7 linked regions of the Macaca mulatta genome follow. The protein of the gene in region 5 purifies or fractionates together with the protein of the main gene of each other region. This does not show direct contact. Links are inferred from orthologs where the notes say so. Each region holds a gene or a part of one and is shown on either strand. Other genes may lie near its edges. The genes, in order: SNRPD1, SNRPD2, PRPF3, SNRNP200, PRPF19, KNSTRN and SNRPA1.

Region 1 (3,968 bases), on a different chromosome or scaffold from region 5:
TCAACTTATTTTCAGACGAATCTTTCAGTATCTGAATTCTTTCTACTTAGTGAAACTTAGATATCAAATAGTCAGATAACACGGTGTCCCTCAGTATCAAAACACACTATCTGAACCCAAAAAACAAACAGGAAAATGTGGGACACTTTTATGCAGTAGGTAAAACTGGCAGTGTATCAAATGTCAAGGACATCAGTAGAGAAAAAGTCAAGCTCACCTCCCAGGTTTTTGGTTAGGGTGACAGTGAGAATAAGGATGACAACTACCAACTGATATACAGAAATAAGTCTACTGAAAACGCAAACCAGTTAGTCAAACAATCATTTTCTGGAGGAAAAATACATTCTCTGGTAAGAAAAAAATTTTCTTTCTATATTTGACCTAAGACACAAAACAGGATTCAGTCCAGGTATTAAAAATTACTGGAAAATTGCCATAACATGCAATATATTTAAAGGGAACAAATGAAATCCAAGGTGTATTACATAAAATTGAACTATGAGTAGATTAAGATTCAGATTAGCAGGTATGGAGAAATTTCTTTTTTTTTTTTTTTTTTTTTTTTTTTGAGACGGAGTCTTGCTCTGAAGCCCAGGCTGGAGTGCAGTGGCCGGATCTCAGCTCACTGCAAGCTCCGCCTCCCAGGTTCACGCCATTCTCCTGCCTCAGCCTCCGGAGTAGCTGGGACTACAGGCGCCCGCCACCTCGCCCGGCTAGTTTTTTGTATTTTTAGTAGAAACGGGGTTTCACCGCGTTAGCCAGGATGGTCTCGATCTCCTGACCTCGTGATCCGCCCGTCTCGGCCTCCCAAAGTGCTGGGATTACAGGCTTGAGCCACCGCGCCCGGCTGGTATGGAGAAATTTCAAAAAATGTTGTAATTTTCTTTTTTGAGACAGAGTCTCGCTCTGTTGCCCAGGCTGGAGCACAGTGGTGTGACGTCGGCTCACTACAACCTCCCGGGATCAAGCGCCTCTCTTACCTCAGCCTCCTGAGTAGCTGGGATTACAGGCGCCCGGCTAATTTTTGTATTTTTTCGAAAGACGGGGTTTCACCACGTTGGCCAGGCAGGTCCTGAACTCCTGACTTCAGGCGATCCGCCTGCCTCAGCTTCCCAAAGTGCTGGGATTACAGGCGTGAGCCACCGCGTCCAGCCTAAAAAATGCACTTTAAATTCTATGACTTCCTATCCAAAATTATAGTTCAAATAAAAATACAACAAAAATTAATCTTAATTGTCTTTTGTACCAACTCCTCCCTGAATTTTTTATTTTTTATTTTTTTATTTTTGCAACGGAGTCTCGCTCTGTTGCCCAGGCTGGAGCGTAGTGGCCAATCTCAGCTCACTGCAACCTCTGCCTCCTGGGTTCAAGCGATTCTCCTGCCTTAGCCTCCTCAGTAGCTGGGATTACAAGCGCGCGCCACCACGCCCGGCCAATTTTTGTAATTTTAGTAGAGACGGGGTTTCACCATGTTGGTCAGGCTGGTCTCGAACTCCTGACCTAGTGATCTGCCCGCCTTGACATCCCAAAGTGCTGGGATTATAGGCGTGAGCCACTGCGCCTGGCCTCCTCCCTGAATATTGAAGGCTTTTATGTGTTATTTAAAACGTTTCAAACAAACGTTATTTCAGACGTTATCTACTTGTCTGTCATCCCCCTAACTAGAAAGCTCCAACAAGGATCTGCCTTTTAAAAAATACTATTACCAGCGCCCAGTAGGTAACAGGTGCCCAATAACTATTTAGCGGATAATGACAATCCTTGACTCAACAGGAAAGAAACAAGCTAAATATTTATAATCGATGGCTTAGTTATTAGAAACGTCTGCCTCTGTTCCAGGCTCAGTCTCAAGGAAAAAGACCAAAACCAAATCTACTCGCAGGTAGTTTGGAATTAGTCTCCAGAAGACTCACCTAAGTGACAGGGTCTATTTCTCGCGAAAGAAATAAAACAGAATAACTATATATCATCTGGGTAATCAGCCACAATTACGTTGTGATAATTTCTGCCCTATATTGGGAGATTTTCCTAAATAAAAAGCTTACCTTAACAGGAAAGAGGTAGAATAATCAATCATAAGTCTAAGGAGAATCAAAAGATAAACTTAAAAATCGGCCGGGCGCAGTGGCTCACACCGGTAATCTCAGCCCTTTGGGAGGGCAAGGCAGGCAGAACGCTTTAGCCCAGGAGTTCGAGACCAGCCTGGTCAACAAAGTGAGACACCGTCTTATTTAAAACAAAAACAAAAACAAAAACTTGTGAAGCCAGAAGTCCTTCTCTGATTTAAAACAGTTTGCAAACAGGTTTGTTTCCAGATAAGCTCATACAGCTTTCTAAGTACTCTTAAGTAGGGCTGGAGCTCCACTCAAAAAGAAAATCAGTAACTGTAAGGGCGAGATGTCTCCCAGGCGGCGCTGTACCTTGAAAGTCTCTAAGTCACTAGGCGGGAAGAAAAGGCTCGGCCTTTATACCAGTATCTTGGAAGACACGCGGGATTCGCGAGCGACCCAGGCGGAAGCCCAGGCCCGAGCACGAGCTGCGGGCGCAGTAAGGCCGGCCGTTAGCAGGCCGCGCACACGCGGCTTTCCCGCCTCCTGCAAATGGGAGAGCCCAGCCTTCCGGACTCCGGGCCAAGCCCTCCCTCCACAGCCCCCGGAGCTGCTTGGTCACTCCCTCACCTCACGAGCTTCATCCTAGCGGCGCCGTCACCCTTCGGGTCCGAGAGCGCACAGAATCCAACAACCGAATACTGACCGACTGCAGTATGAATGGCCGGAAGCGCCTACTCCAGGGACTCCGGTCGTAAAGGGCGCGCGGAGCACAGCAGACGCACGGCGGAAACGCCGAGGCTGCGCTGGGCCGCACTCTCTTCCGGTCGCGAGGAGCGCGACTGCGGCCCCTGGCGGCTGGAGGTTGCCTTGCCACGACTGAGGGTGTTGAGGGCTGGTCTAAGAGGAAAAGTGTCCCACAAGAGAGGGAGATTCGAAGAGATTAAATCCAATTAATAGGACTGTCGCACTTTGGGAGGCCGAAGCGGGGGTATCACCTGAGGTCAGGAGTTCAAGACCAGCCTGGCCAATAGGGTGAAACCCGCGTCTGTACTAAAAATACAAAAAATTAGCCGGATGTGGTGGCGGGCGCCTGTTATCCCAGCTACTCGGGAGGCTGAGGCAGGAGAATCGCTTGAACCCGGGAGGCAGAGGTTGCAGTAAGCCGAGATCGCACCACTACACTCCTGCCTGGGCAACAAGAGCGAAACTCCGTCGCGCGCGCGCGCGCGCACACACACACACGTACTGTCACCATCACGTTTCTGAATAGCAGGGCACCGTGAGTGCAGCACCTAATATAAATTCCTCACTGAACGAAAATAAGTTCTTAGAGAAGCCCAAAGGATTATGCTAATTCTGTTCCAACGCCAGGAACCTTAGCATTACTTAATGTACCTGAAGCAATTCACACAATGGGCCGGGCGCTGTGGCTGACGCCTGTAATTCCAGCACTTTGGGAGTCCGAGGCGGGCAGATAGCGAGGTCGAGAAATCAAGACCGTGCTGGCCAACATGGTGAAACCCTGTCTCTACTAAAAATACAAAAATTAGCTGGGCGTGGTGGCACACGCCTGTAGTCCCAGTTACTCGGGAGGCTGAGGCAGGAGAATCGCTTGAACCCAGGAGGCGGAGGTTGCGGTGAGCCGAGATCGCGCCACTGCACTCCAGCCTGGCAACAGAGCGAGACTCCGTCTCAAAAAATAATAAAAATAAAAAAATAAAATCACACAATGTAGCGGATTATTTTCACTTTAAGTTCCGATCTATAAGACAAACTTTTCAATCTTCATCTTTCACAACATCTCCTCAAAATTTTTTATTGTTTTTCTGAGACAGAGTCTCCTTCTGTCGCCCAGGCTGGAGTGCAGTAGCACGATCTTGGCTCACTGCAACCCTTGCCTCCCCGGTTCAAGCGATT
Region 2 (2,054 bases), on a different chromosome or scaffold from region 5:
TCCACCCGCCTTGGCCTCCCAAAGTGCTGGGATTACAGGCGTGAGCCACTGCGCCTGGCCAATCTTTGTATTTTTAGTAGAGACAGCATTTCACCATGTTGGCCAGGCTGGTCTTGAATTCCCGATGTCAGGTGATTTGCCCGCCTCAGCCTCCCAAACTACTGGGATTACAGGCGTGAGCCACCATGCCTGGCCCCAAAAGATATTTTGGTCAAGCGAGGCCAATTCATTTTAAGAGGCAGAGAAGAGAGCAACAGAGTGACAAGGCGAAGCTCAGAAAGATTAAAGCAGGAGAACTAAAATATTCTCCAGTGCCACAACTGGGTGCTCATTTCCATCCAACCTGTTTGCTTTGCGGAGGGGGAAAGTGAGGCCTCGATGGGGCAGAGCCAGGGCCTCTCCACTTGCTCACGGGTCCTGGTCCCAGCATTCAATTTGATATTAGCTGCCTCCCCCAAGCCCTCCTGAATCCACCCCACTCACAAGGCTCTGGGAACACATACCACTAGAAAAAAACCACAGAGCTTTATTATTCTCAACACCAATGGCAATGGTCTTCATAGGACGAGAGAGTGAGTTCTGTCGATGGATAGGCAGCCCCTACTTGCCGGCGATGAGCGGGTTCCGCAGGACCACGATGACCGAGTCCCCACGCAGGAACATCTTGGAGATGTAGCGGTCTTTGTTGACTGGCTTGGATTTCTTCTTGCCCTTGCCGCTCTTAGGGACCTCAGTCCACATCTCCTTCACGTTCTCCAGCACCATGTTGCAGTGCCTGGTGGGGAACAGGGAGGGGAGGCACTGGGTGTGAGGGGGGTGCCTCTGACAGCGCTGCCTGCTGCTCGCCCCCTCCAGCAGCATGGCTTGGGGAAGGATGCAGGTGCTAGGCTGGATGACCAAGCTGCCAAGGCCAATTCTGCCAGTCCTTAGGTTGAGGCTGAGGCAAAGGACTGCACCTCTCTGTGCCAGTTTGTTCATCTTTAAGAGGGAAGACAATCACAGTACCTTCCTCACAAGGTCGTTGAATATTATCTTTTTTTTTCTTTTTTTTTTTTGAGACAGAGTGTCGCTCTGTTGCCCAGGCTGGAGTGCAGTGGTGCGATTTCAGCTCGCCGCAACCTCTGCCTCCTGGGTTCAGGCAATTCTCGTGCCTCGGCCTCCTGAGTAGCTGTGAATACAGGTGTGCACCACCACGCCCGGTTTTTATATTTTTAATAGAGATGCCGTTTCACCATGTTAGCCAGGCTAGTCTCGAACTCCTGACCTCAGGTGATCCACCCGCCTTGGCCTCCCAAAGTGCTGGAATTACAGGCATGAGCCACCACCCTGGGCCATACACCCCAGGCGTCTGAGAAACCTGTCTTTGAGCTCTTCAGACTGGAGCTAGGGCAGCCTCTCTAGGCCTGCACAGAACACCTCCCAGGACCCAGCACTCACCTATCGAAGGCCTTCACACGGCCCAGGAGTTTCTTATTGTTGCGACAGTTGATGAGCACTTGGGTGTTGTTCTTGACTGACTGAGTGAGCACAGAGAGTGGACCCGTGTTAAATTCCTCCTCCTCTCGCTTCTGCAGCTCCTCTGGGGTCATCTCACTCTTGGGCTTGTTGAGGAGGCTCCTGCATGGATAAACATGGAACCCACAAGTGAGAGAGGCTGGAGCTGTGAGGATGGGTGGTCAGGGCCTCAGCCTCAATGTCTCCCCAGCCTTGTCCCATCACATCCGTCCTGTTTGGCCTTCTGAGTATCACCAGCTGGATGCCTAACAGACATTTTCTTTTTCTTTTCTTTTTTTTTTTTTTTTGAGACAGAGTCTTGCTCTGTTGCCAGGCTAGAGTGCAGAGGCACGATCTCAGCTCACTGCAACCTCTGCCTCCTGGGTTCAAGCGATTCTCCTGCCTCAGCCTCCTGAGTAGCTGGGACTACAGGCGCGCGCCACCTCCACGCCCAGCTAATTTTTGTATTTTTAGTAGACAGTGGGTTTCACCACGTTGGCCAGGATGGTCTTGATTTCCTGACCTCGTGATCCACCCGCCTCGACCTCCCGAAGTGCTGA
Region 3 (3,500 bases), on a different chromosome or scaffold from region 5:
AAACAGGCATCCATACTTCGACTAGGCTTGCCCTCATAGCTCCAAAGAAGGAGCTAAAGGAAGGAGATATTCCTGAAATTGAGTGGTGGGACTCTTACATAATTCCCAATGGCTTTGATCTGTGAGTTTGTTTTAGTACCTTTTTAAAAAAACAGTTTTTAATCAGCCGAGTTTAAGATTCAAGTTAATACCTTTTAGTAAAGCTAGTGGGAAGGATGGTACTCATTCATTAATTAAAATTTTAAAATCCAAGAAAGATAAGTAACTGTACACAAGCTCCTGTGTTTTTTGTTTTGTTTTGTTTTGTTTTGAGAGGGAGTCTCACTCTGTCACCTAGGCTAGAGTGCAGTGGCACGATCTCAGCTCACTGCAACCTCCACCTCCCAGGTTCAAGAGATTCTCCTTGAATTCTCCTTGAACCTCAGCCTCCCGAGTAGCTGGGACTACAGGTGTGCACCACCACGCCTGTCTGCTTTTTGTATTTTTGGTAGAGAGAGGGTTTTGCCATGTTGGCCAGGCGGGTCTCGAACTCCTGACCTCAGGTGATCTGCCCGCCTTAGCCTCCCAAAGTGTTGGGATTACAGGCATGAGCCACTGCACCAGGCCAAGCTCCTGCATTTGTGATGTATCATATAGGTTGTTTTTAGCTTTTGGGGTTAATGTAGGATAACTAGGGACACAAATAATCTACAAAAGCAAAGTCTGTAATTAATTTTGCTGTGTTACACATTGTTGCCTGTTTTTAGCATTATTTTCCTTAATTACATTCTTTTGCTACATATTATAGGTGTTTACATTTCCTAAAGATCTCATTGTGATAGAGCAAGGATTATTAGTTGGTAGGTGAGATAATTGTAAATATATCTTATAAGGCTGGGCTTGGTGGCTGACACCTGTTATTTCCAGCACTTTTGGAGGCTGAGGGCTGAAGGATTGCTTGAGCCCAGGAGTTAAAGACCAGCTTGGGCAATATGGTGAGACCTCATTTCTATAAAAATTAAAAAAGAAAAAAAAAGTAGCTGGGCATGGTGGGTTGGCTACCCAGGAGGCTGATGTGAGAGAATCACTCAAGCCCAGGAGTGTCTGTGCTGCAGTGAGCTATGACCATGACCCCTGCACTCTAGCCTGGACAACAGAGTGAAACTCTGTCTCAAAAAAAAAAAAAAAAAAAAAAAGGATATAAGACACATTTGAGGAGCTTTAAATATATCTGCTCCATCATTCTTTTTTTTTTTTTCTTCTGTCTGAGACAGAGTTTCGCTCTTGTTGCCCAGGCTGGAGTGCAATGGCACGATCTGGGCTCATTGCAACCTCCGCCTGACAGGTTCAAGTGATTCTCCTGCCTCAGCCTCCCAAGTAGCTGAGATTACAGGCATGCGCCACCACGCCTGGCTAATTTTTTGTGTTTTTAGTGGAGACGGGTTTCTCCATGTTGGTCAGACTGGTCTTGAACTCCCGACCTCAGGTGATCCACCTGCCTCAGCCTCCCAAAAGTGCTGGGATTACAGGCATGAGTCACTACGCCCACTGTTTTTTGTTTTGTTTTGTTTTTTGTTTTTTAAAGACAGAGTCTCACTCTGTTGTCTGAGCTGGGAGTGCAGTGACATGATCTCGGCTCACTGCAACCTCTGTCTCCTGGGTTGAAGCGATTCTCCTAGCTCAGCCTCCTGAGTATCCAGTACTACAGGCAAATACCACCACACCTGGCCAGTTTTTATATTTTTAGTAGAGAAGGGTTTCACTGTTTGGCAAGCTGGTCTCAGACTCCTGACCTTAGGTGATCCACCTGCCTGGGTGTCCCAAAGTGCTGGGATTATAGGCATAAGCCACTGCGCCTGGCCCTGTTCCATCATTCTGATACATGGCTTTAGTAGATTTTATCTTAGCCTTTCCTTGCCCATTCTTTGTCAGCCACTGTTCCAGGGACTTATTGTCACTAATGAGAGAACATAGCATCTATCAGCTGTGGCATGGTAGAAAAAAGGTTGGGAATGACTGCTGTGGAGAGTGTGTTCAACCATAGAGGGACTCAGTTCTCTCATCATAAAAATTATATGTAATTTAATTATATATTTTAGGTACGTAAATGCTATTTTAGGTATATCAAGCGCAAGAACCCATTATGGAGAATGGATTTTTTCATTGTATTTCTGAGACTCCTCTCTTAGAATCATCTCTACCCACATATCGCGTTTTCTTTCCTTCCTACAATTTTAGTACAGAGGAAAATCCCAAGAGAGAAGATTATTTTGGAATCACAAATCTTGTTGAACATCCAGCCCAGCTCAATCCTCCAGGTAATGTATAGATTCCTGAATCAAGTCTCTAGAGCAGCATTATCCACTGGAAATTTATACAGCGATGAACATGTTCTGTATCTGTGCTGTTCAGTACAGTAGCCACTATCCATGTGTAATTCTTTTTTTTTAGTTCAGTTTTTTTCCTAACAATAGTTTGTAGTTTGACCAGTGAACATACATTTTAAGTGCATATTCCTGTGCTTAGAATTTCATGAGACAGCCAAGCATGGTGGCTCATGCCTCTAATCCAAACACTTTGGGAGGCCACGGCAGGAGGATCGCTTGAGGCCAAGAATTCAAGACCAGTCTGGGCAACACAGTGAGACCCATCTCAAGGAAAAATAATTTGGCTGGATATGGTGGCTCATGCCTATAATCACTGCACTTTGGGAGGCTGAAGTAGGCAGATTACTTGAGCTCAGGAGTTCCAGATCTGGGCAGCATAGCAAAACCCCATCTCTACAAAAAATAAAATCAGCCGGACATGGTGGCGTGCATCTATAGTCCCAGCCTCTTGGGAGGCTGAGGTGTGGAGGATGGCTTGAGCCTGGGAGGTAGAAGTTGCAGTGAGCTGAGATGGCGCTGCTGCACTCCAGCCTGGGTGATACTGCCAGACCTTGTCTCTTAAAAAAAAAAGAACCCCAAAAATTTCATGAAGCTTTACATTTACAGTTCCCTGGTTGTTCCTAGGAAGCAGCCCTCAGCTTGCTCCTTTTATAGAACCACATGTTGTCATGGCATCCATAGCTAAATGCAAATGCAAGAGCTAAACTCTTGGTTTGGTGTGTTATTAGATGCGATATGCTCCACTACCCACTGTGAGGGATGCTAACTCCAAAGGACTTTTTGTTAGTTTCCCAAAGTTGAAACTGGGAAACAAAGTCGCTTTTTTTTTTTTTGAGATGGAGTTTCACTTTTGTCACCTAGGCTGGAGTGCAATAGCGCGATCTCCATTCACTCATTCACTACAACTTTCACTCCCCGGCCAGGTTTAAGCGATTCTCCTGCCTCAGCCTCCCAAGTAGCTGGGATTATAGGTCCCCACCACCACACCTGGCTAGTTTTTGTACTTTTAGTAGAGACAGGGTTTTGTCATGTTGATCATGCTGGTCTTGAACTCCTGACCTCAAGTGATCCTCCTACCTCAGCCTCCTAAAGTGCTGGGTTTACAGGTGTGAGCCACCGCACCTGGCCCTAATT
Region 4 (3,500 bases), on a different chromosome or scaffold from region 5:
GGGCACCACTGGGGCCAGGCCACAGTCGGATGTTCCCTCCTCCAGGCTGACTCACAAGGCTACAGGGGACAGCACGCCTAATGAGCAGGTCTGTCCTCCAGAAGTACTCATTACAAGCACGTTTCTGGCTAAAAAATAACCAGATCTTTTTGGCCATGCCCTTAGATTGGAGAAAGAAAACGTTTAATTTGGAATCACTGCAAAGACAAATGGTTTCTACAAATTATTTTATTAGAATATCAAACTCAAAAGAACTACCAGGAACATGCCTGAAAATGCTATATATGATTTATGCTTCACCCGTGACACCTGCTGTCACTGGATCCAGAGTGAGCAAGGGAAAAGGAAGTGGAGGTGGGCAGGGACAGCACCAGCCCTGGCTGGCCAGACCTCAGGCCCACAGACCTGGTCCCCACAACCAGGATCCCTACAAGGTACACATTGCTAATTCAGGCTCGACTCTCCTTTACCCAAGAGTAAATGCCTCAGGACTCAATCTGAATCACTGTCCGTCTCAGCTTCTTTCACATCCACGCTGAATTTGTACTCCTGGTCACATCCCATGTAAGCGTCACTCATGAAGTACAGAGTGTAGTTGTGGGCGCCAGTGGCTGGGGCCACAAAGTCCAACTTCACCTAGAAAGAGCAGGCAGAAATCATTATGAGCACGGACACGGTAAGCATTCTCACCCTTCCCCCACGCCGGAACAAATGCTGGCGCCAGTGGACACACCTTGGCCTTCTGCTGGAGGGTCAGCCTCTTGATGGAGATGAGACTATTGGACTTGGCGTCTCCAATCACCACCCACCAGCCCTCTTCACGCTTCTGCAGTGATCCAAAACCAAGAATTTCAGCATGTAAAACTTGATGGCCATAGGCAGCCATGAAAATGGTTACGGTTACAAAAGAAATAACAAAAATCAGATAGCTTTCCAAAGTTTCTTCCCGAAATACAATTAGATACAACATTTTAATACTGTCAAAAGTTCTCTCAAACAGGCTTAATTATTTAAGTAAGTAGATGAACTCATTTGTTGGTTCTGGCTCATTTCCTTGTGCCAAGGTACCTTCTCCCGCTTAGAACCTGCTGCTAAGTCCAAGGTACTACTGTTAGAGGTCTAGTCTTTGGGGCCTGGTAGCTTTGAGTTCCTTAGAGATACTTTTAAGTCCAGGGCATATCTGCCAGATGAGAAAAAGCTTAACCCAGAGCTGAATGTGCACAGAGATGATCCCCAGCAGGCCTTGCAGCCCTGTCTACTGGCCGCCCCACTGTCACAAAGACCAGGAGTCCTAGTTAAAAGCACTCGTTACTCAGAGCCTGTGAATTACATATCACAGGATCTGGTTTCTGCTGTCAACCTTCAATTCTTCTCCCATATAAAGAGAACCAGAATTTCTTTCTGCTGGTAAAAAACCAAGCACCCAGAAGCACAGTGAGTGGCAGTGAGAAAAAAGAAGAAACCACCAGGAAAGCCCAAGTGTCCTGGAGCCACGGGAGTTAAAGACAAACGCATCTTAAACAGCCAGAGAGATGGAAATGCTGCACGACTGACGGGTTTCACAATGACCAGTCATCTACTTTTTTTTTTTTTTTTTGAGACGAAGTCTCACATTGTTGCCTAGGCTGGTGTGCAGTGGGGCAATCTCAGCTTGCTGCAGCCTCCACCTCCCGGTTCAAGTGATTCTCCTGCCTCAGCCTCCCAAGTAGCTGGGACTACAGGTGCCCACCATCAGGTGCAGCTAATTTTTGTATTTTTAGTAGAGATGAGGTTTCACAATGTTGGCCAGGCTGGTCTCAAACTCCTGCCCTCTTGATCTGCCCGCCTTGGCCTCCCAAAGTGCTGGGATTACAGGCGTGAGCCACTGTGCCCGGCCCTAAATTGTTTAAGCAGAAACAAACACGAAAGGAAAAAAAAAAAAAACCCATAGCCTCAAGATTAATTCTCAGCCTTGTGAGCTCATTATCAGTCTAAAGTTTCCCTCCCTCAGGGACAGTGCCCTTGCACCATGCACCTAGCCAGTGGATAGGGGAGTTGACACCTGGCCAAGCCAGTTACCAGGACGCACCTGCGGGAAGAGGGGCGCAATGACAGGGCCTGTGACTTCCTCCTCTCGCTCCAGCTGCACCAGCACCACAACTGGCCCGCCACTGCAGGGGGAGAGGAGGGGCGCACGTCAGTGATGTGGCAGTGGGCTCACAGCATACTGTCGTGCTGTGCCCAACAGGTACCACCTCTGGCTCACCTGCGGATGCTGTCCTTATCCACCACCTCATAAGACAGTTCGATATTAGGGTAGCGGTTACAAAAGCGAGCCACATCTGCAATCTGGCTGTCGGTCAGCTGAAGCAATGCGTTCCGTTCTTCATCCTCCATCTCCATGATGTCGAAAACACTCTCCACCCCCTGCAGTGAGGATTCGGACGTCAGGAAAGACAGAACACAGGCCACAGCAAATGACACAGGCGCCAAGAGCTGCTACTTTTACCTCCTACACCATCAAGTCATCTAGAGAAAACAGCTGCAGAAAGAACACGGCCCACCGTTGGCAGCCTCTCTAGCATCTCAACAGGGAGCCCCTTCGGAGGAACCACAACTACAAGTTTCACTCACTGAGACCCACCTCCCGCAACCCACCCTCGGTCCACAACACTGGGCTCTCAGGCTCACCCACCTGACCCTCTGGGCTGACCCGGCTCACCTTGTCTGTGCAACGTTTGATGTGCTCAGAGGTGAAGTGTGGCAGCTGCTTCAGGTAGGAGTCCTTGGACCACATGGCTTGGGTGACCATCTGGGCCAGTTCCATGGCTGCCAGAGCAGGGCTGAGCCACCCATTGCTGGAGAGGACATCCACACAGGCCTGGATAAGCCGGATTGCCTACCACGAAAAGGCGTACCAAAGTGGGCGGGGTTGCAGCTGAGATGTCTAGAGCACCACTGGCCCCTGTGCCCCACACCCACACCCTACCTTACTAAGGATTTCCTCCGTATCTGACTGCAACTCAGCACTCAGCTGCATGCGGGACAGGTGAGCCTGCAGGAGCAGGTTGGTCTTGACGTGCGGATCATTGAACTTAGGGTTATTCAGCTTGTGGGGGACCTTCTGAGCCAACTACAAAGTGGAAGAAAAATAGTTGGTGATGAACAGGTGACCCTGCCTGAGACTGGCTCAGGCCAAAGCACCACATGGCCCAGGCTCACAGCCCTTCAACACCCCGAGGCACGTGGGTGGCAGTGGGATGGAGATGAGTGTGAGGGAGGTATGGAGGGGAGGACATATGGTGGGGGTCGGGGGATGCATAAGGGGGTGTTGGTGGCAGGGACGCCATGTGCTCTGGGCACACAGGCAGAGTTCGTTGTTCCCAGGACGTTCTCCTGAAGCTGCCGTCCTCACCTGCCTCAGCAGGTTGTCTTCATGGTGCCGGATGGGAATGTTCTCGTACTCTGCCGCATTGGAGATGATCTCGATGAGCCCTCGCACCTTGGTCTTGGCATTGAGG
Region 5 (3,957 bases):
AGGCTGGTTGTTGATGGGGTCGGTACCATTCTCTGCAATGTACTTCTCAATGAGCCGCCGCTCATAAACATGATTAGAGACAGGGGACACACATGGGTGCTCCGGCACTTCATTAGAGACTGTAGAGAAAAGGCCGGCAGTGAGCTTGGAGTGAAGGCAATCTTGAGCCTAGAGGATTCCTCATCTGCTATTAGCCCCAACAAGACTAGGCATCCTCACAATCAACTAGCAAAAAGCAAGACATCTGACCCTAAGCCAGTTCTGTACTGGCCCCAGAATGCTTTCCAGCTGTGGAACTAGCTTTTCCTTTAGTCTCCTGACAATCAGATAGTCAACAAATAATTATTAACAACTACTATGTGCCAAGCACCTAGAGAACAGCAGTCCATTATCGCCACCTAATATCTGAACAATGATTGTGTACTCTATGAATACAGTTTACTCCATGACATGGAGACACACATGAAGCCATTCAAATCCCTTCCATCCATCTTAGTCTATAGCTCCAGAGGGATTATCAAAGAAATCATAAAGTCTGAGAATATAGGAATAACAAACTCAGTTTCTCCTATTCTCTCACAAAACAAAATACTTCTGTGACCTCAGATGTGACCATCCGGGTGTCCTCCAATTCAATTCTGACACCAGGTACCTGGAGATAGTGTCAGATCACACGGGTTGAGGTCTCAGTCCCACCAGACTCCCCCACCCCTTCAGATGCCAATCGCAAGCTCCAGGTTGTTTGACCTGTTCTTCTGATCTACCAGCTGTAAATCAGGGTTCCCATGACCCCCTTTTTGGGTTCAATTAATTTTCAACAGTGACTCACAGAATTGTGGGAAACACTTATGTTGACCAGTTTATTATAAAGGATATTACAAAGGGTATAGATGAAGAGGTGCATAGGATGAGGTATGGGAGAAGGAGTACAGAGCTTCCCATGCCCTCCCTGGGCACCCCACCCTCCAGGAACGCCCACATGTTCTGCTATACAGAAGCTCTTTGAATCCTGCCCTTTTGTATTTTTATGAAAACTTCATTACAAAGGCATGATTCAATAAATCACTGGTCACTAGTGACAACTTCAGCCCCTCTCGTTCCCCAGGTAAGTGGGGGGTAGGACTGAAAATCCCAACTTTCTAATACCCTTTAGTCTTTCTAGGTGACCAGTCCCCATCCTGAAGCTATTGACGTCTGCCAGCTACCAGTCAACTGATTAGGATACAGGCAGACACTTATCACCTGGAAGATTCCAAGGAGCAAAGTGGCAATCATTACAATAAAAATATTTACATGGCACATGTCTATGTGCCAAGCACAATTCTAGGCATACAGTACAGTAATTCATGTTCACAACAACCCGCAATAGAGGTATCATTTACACTCTTGCCTGCATAGACTGTGCGCCCCTTGAGGATAAGGATTACAGCTGGTCTCTCACTTCCAGTACAATGCAGATGCCCCCGGGGCACTCGGTAAACATCTAACGAATGAGTGAACCCTGCCAGGAAAGATAGTGCTGGGGAACGTAAAAGAGAGCTTTCCCAAGACTGGAAGGAAACAATGAATATGAAGGTACTTTGCGAGCTGTAATTTCTTCAATGTGAGGGATTCCTTTTCCATCATTTCCCTTCCTTCTTCCCCCTCTCTGGATCAACGTACAGGTTCTGAGAAGAGACGGAGGTGAATAGCAAAAGGGAGGGGAAACGAGTAATCTGATGAAACAACGAAAAGGGAAAGGAAAACGTATGTACGTCATGATAAAATATCAAAGGGAAAGATAGTGGAAGGTATGGAAAAAGCAAGGATTCAGGCTCCAAACTCCGTGTCACCTAACTACGTCACCCAGCTCTGCCATTGACTAGCTACGCATTCTTAGATAAGCCCCGCTCTTCCTGAGCCTTGCCTCCTCATTTGCAACACCAGGATCTTTTCTCCTTTAGGGAATTCTTGTGAGGATAAAATGAGATCCTAGACTTGGAAGCGCGTTGTAAACCAATAAGGGCTTTATAAATGTGCGCTGTTTTTAATTAGTCATACACTGTAAGGCTGGGAGCCATATACCTAGCTGCCAGCCTTGCCTACCTCTAACTCATCATGTGACCTTTACAAATTGCAAAAGCTGCGACTATCCGAGCAAGGCCTCACAAAATATCCAGTGCAATGCTCTCAATTTTGCAGATGGGGAAACCGAGGCACAGAGCCTTAAGCCAATTCACAAAGCCAACAGGAGGCGGACCCTGGACAAGACCTCGGGTTTCCTGACTCTTACATCAAGGCTGTTTCCCCTGCACCAGCTCCCTCTGTCCAGGCCTGTTTCCACTCGGTAGAATGAGGCGACCTGCCTCAGTAATGCCTGCGACAATAAACCTCCGGCACTATGTAAACTGCGGAGCACTGCGCAAATGCACCCCGCTCCGAGGGGAGGGCTCCGGGGCTGACAGGCCGCCGCTCTGCCTCTGGAGCGCCCCATTCCCGCCTCCACCCCGGCCCCGGCCCCGGCGCCGCAGTGGCCCGCACACGCTCCCGCGCCGCTCTCCGGCCTCCTGCGACCCGCGCTCGGCCGCAGGCAACACTCACTGGAGCAGATTAGGGACATGGCGCCGTTGCCGCGCTCCCAGGCGCCACACGCCGGACTCCGGGACTGGCTTCTGAGCCTCCGCGAGCCACTTCCGGTCCCCCGCTGCTGCCGGGACTGCTCAGCTGCGAGCTGGGAGCCGCCAGTCGAGCGATGCTCGCGTAGCGCTTCACGTGGGAATGGGGACAGCCGCGCGCCACTGCCTCCAGCACCTAACGGAAATAGACCTTTCCCAGAATGCAGCCGGGCAGGAAAGGGCCCGCCACGAACACTCGGTTATTTCCGGATTGACTCGGCTCGTTCCGTAAAGCGCCCGGGGATTGGCGGGGGCGTCGGAAGAGAGGAGACTCGAAACTACATTTCCCATGATGCAGTGAGAACTTAAAACCAAAGCAATTGGACAGCACTTGTTTTGACAACTGTGCGGCACTGTGTCACGGGACCCTGGTCTTTGAAACCTTGGTGTGCGCGAGAATTTCCCAATTTCCCATTGTTAAAATGCAGATTCCTCGGATCTGCGTAGACAGACTGCGCCCCACGCTATTCTAAGTCAGGTGTTTCTCGGGCCACCCTTTAAGAGACACTGCTGGATGGCCTGGTGTTAAAAATACAGAGGCAGATGGGTACAGGAACTAAGAAAACGGCTAAGACAGCGTTTTGGTCCTGACTACTACCGTTTCGCTCTGTGATTTGGGGCAATTCACATTGGCTTCCCTGCCCTTTCTTCTTTGTCAAAAGACAAAATCACAACAAATTTAGTTTAAAGTTTTTTGTTTGTTTTTGTTTTTTGGTTTTGTTTTGTTTTTGTTTTTGTTTTTAAGAGACGGACTCTGGCAATGTTGCCCAGGCTGGAACGCAGTGGCTATTCACAGGTGCAATCGTAGCAATCATGGCTATCACAGGTGCATCCTGGAACTCCTGGGCTCAAGTGATCCTTCTGCCTCAGCCTCCAGAGTAGCTCTGGGACTTAGGGTGCAATTCTATAAAATTGGGCAGCGCCTTACACTATAAAATCTAATGGTTGTTCCAATGAGCTGAACAGGGGAGCTTGGTTTTTTAGACAGAAAAGGACTGAGGAAAACAGAAACAGAACAAAAATGGGATTGGTCATTTGGTAATCTCAAAATTACTTTTCTTGTAAAGGTTAAAGTGGAGGGTACTTCTTTATCATGCCATGTAAAACTTGCCTGTTTGGGAATTTAGCTCTCCCCGCCAACACACATGCACACACACACTCTCTCTCAGAAGGTCATAAAGATCTTAGTTTCAGCTCATTGGGGTGGAACTTCGGCAGGACTCTTTTTAGCTTGGTCTGTTAGGCCTAGCGCAAGAGCTCAGTCCAAACCAGTGGCCTCTTATCAATTTATTTTGTATTTTCT
Region 6 (3,500 bases), on a different chromosome or scaffold from region 5:
GTGTTGCCCAGGCTGGAGTGCAATGGCACCATCTCGACTCACTGCAACCTCTGCCTTCCACCACACCTGGCTATTTTCTAAATTTTATTTTGCAGAGATGGGATCTCGCTATGTTTCCCAGGCTGGTCTCAAACTCCTGGCTTCAAGTAATCCTTCTACCTCAGCCTCCCAAAGTGCTGGGATTACAGGCATGAGCCACCATGCCTGGCTGATTTCTTAGTTTTGACAAATGTACCAGGATAATGTAAGATGTTACTGTTGGGGGTTGGGGGAGGGAGTGCATCAAGAAGAATAGCTAATAGATGCTGGGCTCAATACCTAGGTGATGGGATGATCTGTGCAGTAAACCACCATGGCACATGTTTACCTTGTAACAAACCTGCACACCCTGTCCATGTACCCCTGAACTTAAAAGTTGGAAATTAAAAAAAAAAAAAAAGTATCAGGGTAAATTTTCTGTATTATCTTTGTAACTTTCCTATAAATCTAAAATTATTTAGCAAGTTTATTAAAAATAAAAAGAAAAACAGGAAAGAAATCTACCTATCGTGGTAGAAAATGGTCAGGGTGATGTCTGCCTCTCACCTGTAACTCCTCCATCTGCTTTTTGGCTGTTTCATTAAAAAGCTTCAGCTCCTCTTGCAAAGTTTCTAACAGCAACTAAGAGGAAAGTACAATGTAGTAAACAAATCTTCATATAAAACCAGACCTGCATTAGATGATGGCTGACATCCCTTCCACACAGTTCTCAACAAAGGAGTCAGGAAATTTGATACAGTATAGAACAGAGGAACCAGAAAGCTCTCTCTACAGGTTTACCTATCACGTGTTTTAAATTTTCTTTTTTCTTTTTTTTTTTCTTTTTTTTTGAGACAGAGTCTCGCTCTGTCGCCCAGGCTGGAGTGCAGTGGCCAGATCTCAGCTCACTGCAAGCTCTGCCTCCTGGGTTGACACCATTCTCCTGCCTCAGCCTCCCGAGTAGCTGGGACTACAGGCGCCCGCCACCTTGCCCGGCTAGTTTTTTGTGTTTTTTAGCAGAGACGGGGTTTCACTGTGTTAGCCAGGATGGTCTCGATCTCCTGACCTCGTGATCCACCCGCCTCAGCCTCCCAAAGTGCTGGGATTACAGGCGTGAGCCACCGCGCCAGGCCCCACGTGTTTTAAATTTTCAATTCAGACTTACCTATATTTGTAAGCACAAAGCTACCTTTCAAGTAAAATATGCTATTTTGAGTGCATGTTCCATTTGTCTTTTCTACCATCGCAGATAATCAAAGGTTGTTTCTTGGGGTTTATGGAACATATAGCAGAGACCTTCTTAGATTTACAGAGCCCCACAGTCACTCAGCCCTTGTGCCCTTTTGCACCCATTCCCTCACCATAGAGTCCATGTGATCGGTAGTAGATTCTTGTCGTGATGCCAGGGTCTCACTGCCTAAAGCTGACGGATACAACAAAGTCAACTTCACTTAGGGAACTACACACTTTAAACAAAAAAAAATAAAAACCCTCCATGAACAAGTACAGAAATATTCATGAGGGGAATTTCTCTTAAGTGTCTAATCCCGGACTTTCTCCCAAGTTTTCACCTTGGCAGGGTCACCCACATCTGCCCTGCAGAACTGCATTTTATCTCCTTTCAATCTAGGTTTGGATATGGCCAAAAATTCTGTATACTTTCTCCTTAGGTCAGTGGACAATTTGTCCAAAGGAAATGTATAGGTTGGATTTTTTGGTTTTGTTCACAATTTAAGAGCCTTTCAGGCCTTAAAAATTATTACTTTTGGTAATATCACATGCATGTAATAAATTAAAATCATACAAAATATTTATGGTGTCAGTTGTGGTGACGCATACCTGTAGTCCCAGCTACTCAGAAGGATTGCTTGAGCCCAGGAGTTGGAGGCCAGCCTGGGCAACATAGCGAGATCCCATCTCAAAAAAAAAAAAAAAAAAAAATTTAAATTTAAAAATATGTATTTGGCCGGGCGCGGTGGCTCACGCCTGTAATCCCAGCACTTTGGGAGGCCGAGGCGGGCGGATCACAAGGTCAGGAGATCGAGACCACGGTGAAACCCCGTCTCTACTAAAAATACAAAAAATTAGCCGGGCGCGGTGGCGGGCGCCTGTAGTCCCAGCTACTCAGGAGGCTGAGGCAGGAGAATCGCGTAAACCCAGGAGGCGGAGCTTGCAGTGAGCCGAGATCGCGCCACTGCACTCCAGCCTGGGCGACAGACCGAGACTCCGTCTCAAAAAACAAACAAACAAACAAATAAAAATATGTATTTTACAGTGACTATAAAGAATATCCCAGGTCGGGCATGGTGACTCATGTCTGTAATCCCAGTACTCTGGGAGGCTGAGGCAGGCAGATCACTTGAGGTCAGGAGTTTGAGACCAGCCTGGCCAACATGGCGAAACCCTGTCTCTACTAAAAATACAAAAATTAGTTGTGTATAGTGGTACATGCCTGTAATCCCAGTTACTCACGAGGCTAAGGCACAAGAATCACTTGAACTCAGGAGGAGGAGGTTTCAGTGAGCTGAGATCACGCCACTGCACTCCAGCCTGGGCAACGGAGTGAGACTCCATCTCAAAAAAAAAAAAGAATATCCTCACCTGTAACCTAAAGATTAACCAGTAACATTCAAAGTCAGTATTCCTTAATACAAAAAGGCCTGGGCCCATTTCCTGGGCATTCTCTAGCTCTTTGACTCAGGCTGAGGCCCTCTTATAGTCTTTGGACAATTCTTTCTACTGCTCTCTTTGCTACAGATTCTGCTCTCTGGGGGACAGGGTAACAGTAGTCATTTTTTAGTCACTGTAATTCTACTGATTAGCCAGGTTTAAGAATGCTTGAAGTAGTATTTTCTGTCTCTTCCCATTTGAGAAGTTACTAGTATGCTTGCGAGGAAGAACATGTTCAAACAAAATGTTCCTTTCAAGCACACTAGTAACTTTCCCAAATGGGAAGAGACAGAAAATATTCTCCCTTGAAAGGAACAAAATATTTCTCATCTACTTGCAAGGTCATACCTGTTGGCATAAAGTGTTCAGGTAAGAAAGAGATAACCTTCTCTCTATATAATCCTCTGAAATTCTATTGGCCAGGCAAAAATCAACATCACATGAAAACAAACAGAAGCTCTCCAAAATCTTTAGGGCTTTACTGAAGTAACCCCTGCACTTACTGGGCCAGCTGATGCCATGCTGCCAAGATCAACCCAGGAAGGGACACATGCACTGATCCCTTCAAAGACAGCTAGCTGTGTGCTATCTCTTACCTGGATCAAGGCCCTTGCTCTCCAAAATTGCCAAACAGTTGTCCCGAAACTTCTCCAGCAGCTCTACCTTTTGGGTCAGGTCCTTCAGCTCTCCCTGTTGGAGCACCGCACAGACAGATCAGGAACTGTCCCAATCCCTAGGGGTGGTCGCCCTTTCTTGCCCTTGCTCTTGGACAGCCATAGCAAAAGCCTGTTTTTTTTTTTTTTTCTGCCCTT
Region 7 (4,229 bases), on a different chromosome or scaffold from region 5:
TCTTAAAAAAAAAAAAAAAAAATTCTAATCAAACAACACCATTAAGAGTGAAAAGGCAAGCCACAGCGTGTGTTCATATGCCTAATATATAAAGAAATTCCAAGAATCAATAAGAAAAAAGGCAGACAACTCCATAAGGAAAAAAATGAGCCAAGGACTCGAAAGAACACTTCACAAAGGAAGCTATCAGAATGGGCACCATACACATGAGAAAGTTCTCAGCTTCATTAGTTATTAGAGAAAAGCAAAGCAGTAGTGCAATACCACCACACACCCATCAGAATAGCTAAAGTTATAGACTTAAAATGCAAACAAGCCTGAAGCTGGAAGCCATGAAAACCCTTACACACCGCTGGAGTGTGTATATTATTTCAGCCTCTTAGTATAACTGTTGGGCATTACTTATTGATGATAGATATAATACCCTATGTCCCAGCAATTCCACTCCAGGAAAAACTCATGCAAATGTGCATCAGATCCACGTACCAGAAAATTCATAGCAGCATTACTCAGAATAGCCCTAAACAGAAAACAACTTTGATGTCCATCAACAGCAGAATAAGTAATTTATGGTATAATATATACAATGGAACTCTCTTCAGCAGCGAAAGCAAACAAACCATCTCTGTAGGCAACCTGGATGGACTCCAGACATAATATAGACTCAAAGAAACTAGGCCAAAAAAAGCATACTGCATGATTCTATTTATATCAAAAGCAAGCAAAACGAATCTGTAGTGTTGAGTTCGCGGTTGCCTTTGGGAAAGAGGAAGGCTTTCAGAATAGTGGTTTTTTGGATCTCGGTGTCGGCTAAGCAGTTGTGTTCACTCTGGTCATTAATCACGCTGTAAATTCATCATATGCACACTTTTCTGTATATCATACTTCATATGAATATTCAGAAGTCTAAAGGCCACAAGCTTAACCGCAAACCCTACCATGCCCTAGGCCAGGTTGGACTTGCGGAGCTGTGGGGTTGTCCCGGCGACCTGCCCCAGGCGGGCCACCTAGCCCGGGATCTCACACTGTAACCCGGAGCCAAGGCCCAGGCCCAGGCCCAGGACGGGTACCTGAACTCCTGGACCCTTCACTGAACCCCACGGGTCCCCGCGCCGGCTGGTGGAGGGAGAGCAGTCACAGCTTCCCGTCCCACCTCAAGGTGCGCTAATGCATGAAAAAGTTCCCCTCGGATGTTTCCACATTCGCCTTAACTTTTAAACACCAACGTCTGGAATCATAGGTTCTCCAGACTCCAAACACACCCCAGGAAAGAACCCAGAACCAGACACAGCCCCTGCGCGCCCGGCAAGACTTCCGGCAAGAACGACCCCGAAGGCGTGGCTCTTCCATTGCTTCGGCCTGGCGGGCGAGCTGCGCGCGCACTCGGGGGCTGCGATTGGTGCTGCCTGGCGGTGGGGCGCGGGGCACGCTGGGACGTCTCGCTGGCGGGAGGCCACGGGCTTTCCACGGCGCGAGGAGACGGGAGGCAGCAGGATGGTCAAGCTGACGGCGGAGCTGATCGAGCAGGCGGCGCAGTACACCAACGCGGTGCGCGACCGGGAGCTGGACCTCCGAGGTGAGTCCGAGGGCGTGGGCGGCCAGCCCCCGGGCGGCACCGCGTCGCCTTATTATCCGCGCTCTGCCGCGTGCACCGAAGGCCGGAGCTTGGCCCGCGGGCCGGTTGTCTGGGCTCCGACCGGGCTGCGCAGGGAACGCGGGGCCTGATTCTTGCCGTTGTTGCCAAATGAGCATCCCGTTAGGCTCTTGGAGCCTTCTCTTACCGCCGTGCCTCTTGACAGGCACGAGTGACTTCATTACTTCCTGGTGCATACTCGTGGGGCTCTATTAGGCCTTGCTTGGCTGTTTCGCAGTTGGCTCTGTTTGAGGGCCCGGAAGAGCGGCTCGTTAATGGTTGTAACGCTAGTGCAGGGCGAGTGATTGGTTCTTAATACTTGCCGCCAGACGATATTTTGAGCGTAGATGGGATATGTGTTCGTTGTTCCTAATGTGAGGGAGGAAACCAAGTCCCCGAACAACAGCGATTGTTTCCCCCAGTATTTTCTACTTAGTACCTTTGTCTGGCGTTTCCCCTTTATGAAGACGTTTTAAAAATTGAACTGTGTGACCCAGGTTTGCACAGCCCTGTGCTGTGTGTAAGTTGTGGAAGCGCTCGCAATTATTCAGATTCCTGTACTATTTCAACCTTAGCAAGACTTGGTAAGATATTGGGAGGGCAGCTAGCTAGTTGGCATTTCAGGAGACGACTTTAAAAAGGATGTGAAGAGCAACTTCTCTGGGGATAAGACCATGCAGCCGTAGCCTGAGATTTGTTCCCACGGGGACCTATGGCTTTGGAGCAGCATCGCTGCGGGATCTGCTTAGATTTCTTGCTGACCTTTGGGAAATCCCGTTGTGTTGTGTTGTGTGTTGTGTTCTGCTTAGATTTCTTGCTGACCTTTGGGAAATCCCGTTGTGTTGTGTTGTGTTGTGTTGTGTTGTGTTGTGTTGTGATGGAGTCTCGCTCTTTCACCCCAGCTGGCGTGCAGTGGTGTGGTCTCGCCTCACTGCAACCTCCACCTCCCCGGTTCAAGTGATTCCTGTGCCTCAAGCCTCCCGAGTTGTTGGGATTACAGGCGTGAGCCACCACGCCTGGCTGATTTTTGTATTTTTAGTAGAGACGGGGTTTCGCCATGTTAGTCAGGCTAGTCTCGAATTCCTGACCTCAGGTGATCCGCCTCCGCCGGCCTCCCAGAGTGCTGGGATTAAGACGTGAACCACTGCGCTCGGCCCCCAGTATTTTTATTTTGTTGAAATTAAGTTTGTTAGAGAAAGGTTCAGTTCAAGAGCAACTCACCACTTTTTTTTTTTTTTTTTTTTTTTTTTGAGACGGAGTTTCGCTGTTGTTGCCCAGGCTAGAGTGCAATGGCGCGATGTCAGCTCACTGCAACCTCTGCCTCCCGGGTTCAAGCGATTCTCCTGCCTCAACCTCCCGAGTAGCTGGGATTACAGGCCTGCGCCATCACGCCCGGCTAATTTTGTATTTTTAGTAAAGACAGGGTTTCTCCATGTTGGTCAGGGTGGTCTCGAACTCCCGACCTCAGGTGATCCGTCCTCCGCGGTCTCCCAAAGTGCTGGGATTACAGGCTTGAGCCATTGCGCCCGGCCCAACTCACCACTTTTGATGATCTCTGCCATTTCTCTTTATGGAGTACGTGCAATATTGAGAATACATATTTTGATGCAATACGTGTAGTATAGCTCTGAATTGTGCCCTTTAACTTTGGGTGAATTCTTTTTTAGTAGACCTTGCTTCTTCAGAATATTTCTTTTCTTATAGTGCCTAACACAGTAATTATGCTCAAATTGGACAAATTAACATTTGAGTGTTCACAGGTTTATTACTCTATGTAAACCATTGAGTTCTTCAACTCTAAATTGTAGCTGGGGGAGGGGAGGGAGAACTGTCATATCTTGAGGCTGTTCTGATGGGTTCTAAGAATCTGGCCCGTGGAGATGCAAGAGTGGAGAACTGTTATCCACAATGTTTGAACGCTGTTTGGGCACTGAGACTAAGCAGCTCAAAGTGTAAATTCCTGTTGTGCGGATTCCGCTTAACTAGCCCAAATGACTTAGAACAGTGTGAGGCACCTTGTAAATGTTCTTATAAATGTTAGCTACCTATATCACCCATTATTATTGTTCTTGTCCTTGTTGTCATTAGATTGTAAGCTTCATGGCACTGGGTACTTGAGACTCGTTCAGCATTTTCTCTCTAGTATCTTGTACAGTGGCAAGGCATGTATGACATGGCATAGGTGCTAGGTAATGCTTCCTGAATAAATCAAAGCCTGGAATCAGATACTATGAAATACTGCTAATGTTTTAAGGGGCTGTTTAGTTATATTAATACCTCTTGTGTGTTTTTTTTTCCTCCATTTTACAGGGTATAAAATTCCCGTCATTGAAAATCTAGGTGCTACATTAGACCAGTTTGATGCTATTGATTTTTCTGACAATGAGATCAGGAAACTGGATGGTTTTCCTTTGTTGAGAAGACTGAAAACATTGTTAGTGAACAACAACAGAATATGGTAAGTGCCTATAGGGGAAAGTAATTTTTTCCCCCTAGGGTAAATGTTGCAGTGTTCCCTGAAGAAGCTGTAGCACGTACTACCGGTTAAACCTACATGGTTTTTTTAATTTAATTTTTATATTTTTAAAAAATATTT

Evidence for each region.
Region 1: the proteins of PRPF19 (region 5) and SNRPD1 fractionate together in Homo sapiens (co-fractionation; 3 studies listed by BioGRID). This does not show direct contact. The link is inferred for Macaca mulatta from reciprocal best matches to the Homo sapiens genes PRPF19 and SNRPD1.
Region 2: the proteins of PRPF19 (region 5) and SNRPD2 fractionate together in Homo sapiens (co-fractionation; 3 studies listed by BioGRID). This does not show direct contact. The link is inferred for Macaca mulatta from reciprocal best matches to the Homo sapiens genes PRPF19 and SNRPD2.
Region 3: the proteins of PRPF19 (region 5) and PRPF3 fractionate together in Homo sapiens (co-fractionation; 3 studies listed by BioGRID, with this or other methods). This does not show direct contact. The link is inferred for Macaca mulatta from reciprocal best matches to the Homo sapiens genes PRPF19 and PRPF3.
Region 4: the proteins of PRPF19 (region 5) and SNRNP200 purify together in Homo sapiens (affinity purification with mass spectrometry; 3 studies listed by BioGRID and IntAct, counting the BioPlex papers as one, with this or other methods). This does not show direct contact. The link is inferred for Macaca mulatta from reciprocal best matches to the Homo sapiens genes PRPF19 and SNRNP200.
Region 6: the proteins of PRPF19 (region 5) and KNSTRN purify together in Homo sapiens (affinity purification with mass spectrometry; 4 studies listed by BioGRID and IntAct, counting the BioPlex papers as one, with this or other methods). This does not show direct contact. The link is inferred for Macaca mulatta from reciprocal best matches to the Homo sapiens genes PRPF19 and KNSTRN.
Region 7: the proteins of PRPF19 (region 5) and SNRPA1 fractionate together in Homo sapiens (co-fractionation; 3 studies listed by BioGRID). This does not show direct contact. The link is inferred for Macaca mulatta from reciprocal best matches to the Homo sapiens genes PRPF19 and SNRPA1.

What each region holds. Positions count from the first base shown.
Region 1 is NC_133423.1:70,797,268-70,801,235, forward strand, and holds the start of SNRPD1 (small nuclear ribonucleoprotein Sm D1), read right to left. Parts: upstream 2,801-3,968; 5' UTR 2,693-2,800; coding exon 2,679-2,692; intron 1-2,678. UniProt on the Homo sapiens protein: Plays a role in pre-mRNA splicing as a core component of the spliceosomal U1, U2, U4 and U5 small nuclear ribonucleoproteins (snRNPs), the building blocks of the spliceosome.
Region 2 is NC_133424.1:58,224,554-58,226,607, forward strand, and holds the end of SNRPD2 (small nuclear ribonucleoprotein Sm D2), read right to left. Parts: intron 1,753-2,054; exon of another isoform or gene 1,618-1,752; coding exon 1,438-1,617; intron 802-1,437; coding exon of another isoform or gene 776-801; coding exon 601-775; 3' UTR 501-600; downstream 1-500. UniProt on the Homo sapiens protein: Plays a role in pre-mRNA splicing as a core component of the spliceosomal U1, U2, U4 and U5 small nuclear ribonucleoproteins (snRNPs), the building blocks of the spliceosome.
Region 3 is NC_133406.1:116,795,743-116,799,242, reverse strand, and holds part of PRPF3 (U4/U6 small nuclear ribonucleoprotein Prp3), read left to right. Parts: coding exon 1-121; intron 122-2,217; coding exon 2,218-2,297; intron 2,298-3,500. UniProt on the Homo sapiens protein: Plays a role in pre-mRNA splicing as component of the U4/U6-U5 tri-snRNP complex that is involved in spliceosome assembly, and as component of the precatalytic spliceosome (spliceosome B complex).
Region 4 is NC_133418.1:5,010,829-5,014,328, forward strand, and holds the end of SNRNP200 (U5 small nuclear ribonucleoprotein 200 kDa helicase), read right to left. Parts: coding exon 3,395-3,500; intron 3,113-3,394; coding exon 2,969-3,112; intron 2,879-2,968; coding exon 2,702-2,878; intron 2,407-2,701; coding exon 2,246-2,406; intron 2,151-2,245; coding exon 2,069-2,150; intron 827-2,068; coding exon 734-826; intron 637-733; coding exon 493-636; 3' UTR 214-492; downstream 1-213. UniProt on the Homo sapiens protein: Catalyzes the ATP-dependent unwinding of U4/U6 RNA duplices, an essential step in the assembly of a catalytically active spliceosome. Plays a role in pre-mRNA splicing as a core component of precatalytic, catalytic and postcatalytic spliceosomal complexes.
Region 5 is NC_133419.1:13,166,190-13,170,146, reverse strand, and holds the start of PRPF19 (pre-mRNA-processing factor 19), read right to left. Parts: upstream 2,801-3,957; 5' UTR 2,600-2,800; coding exon 2,581-2,599; intron 1,668-2,580; exon of another isoform or gene 1,580-1,667; intron 120-1,579; coding exon 1-119. UniProt on the Homo sapiens protein: Ubiquitin-protein ligase which is a core component of several complexes mainly involved pre-mRNA splicing and DNA repair. Required for pre-mRNA splicing as component of the spliceosome.
Region 6 is NC_133412.1:17,701,216-17,704,715, reverse strand, and holds part of KNSTRN (small kinetochore-associated protein), read right to left. Parts: intron 3,379-3,500; coding exon 3,285-3,378; intron 1,442-3,284; coding exon 1,380-1,441; intron 661-1,379; coding exon 586-660; intron 1-585. UniProt on the Homo sapiens protein: Essential component of the mitotic spindle required for faithful chromosome segregation and progression into anaphase.
Region 7 is NC_133412.1:91,654,048-91,658,276, reverse strand, and holds the start of SNRPA1 (U2 small nuclear ribonucleoprotein A'), read left to right. Parts: upstream 1-1,429; 5' UTR 1,430-1,494; coding exon 1,495-1,576; intron 1,577-3,943; coding exon 3,944-4,091; intron 4,092-4,229. UniProt on the Homo sapiens protein: Involved in pre-mRNA splicing as component of the spliceosome. Associated with sn-RNP U2, where it contributes to the binding of stem loop IV of U2 snRNA.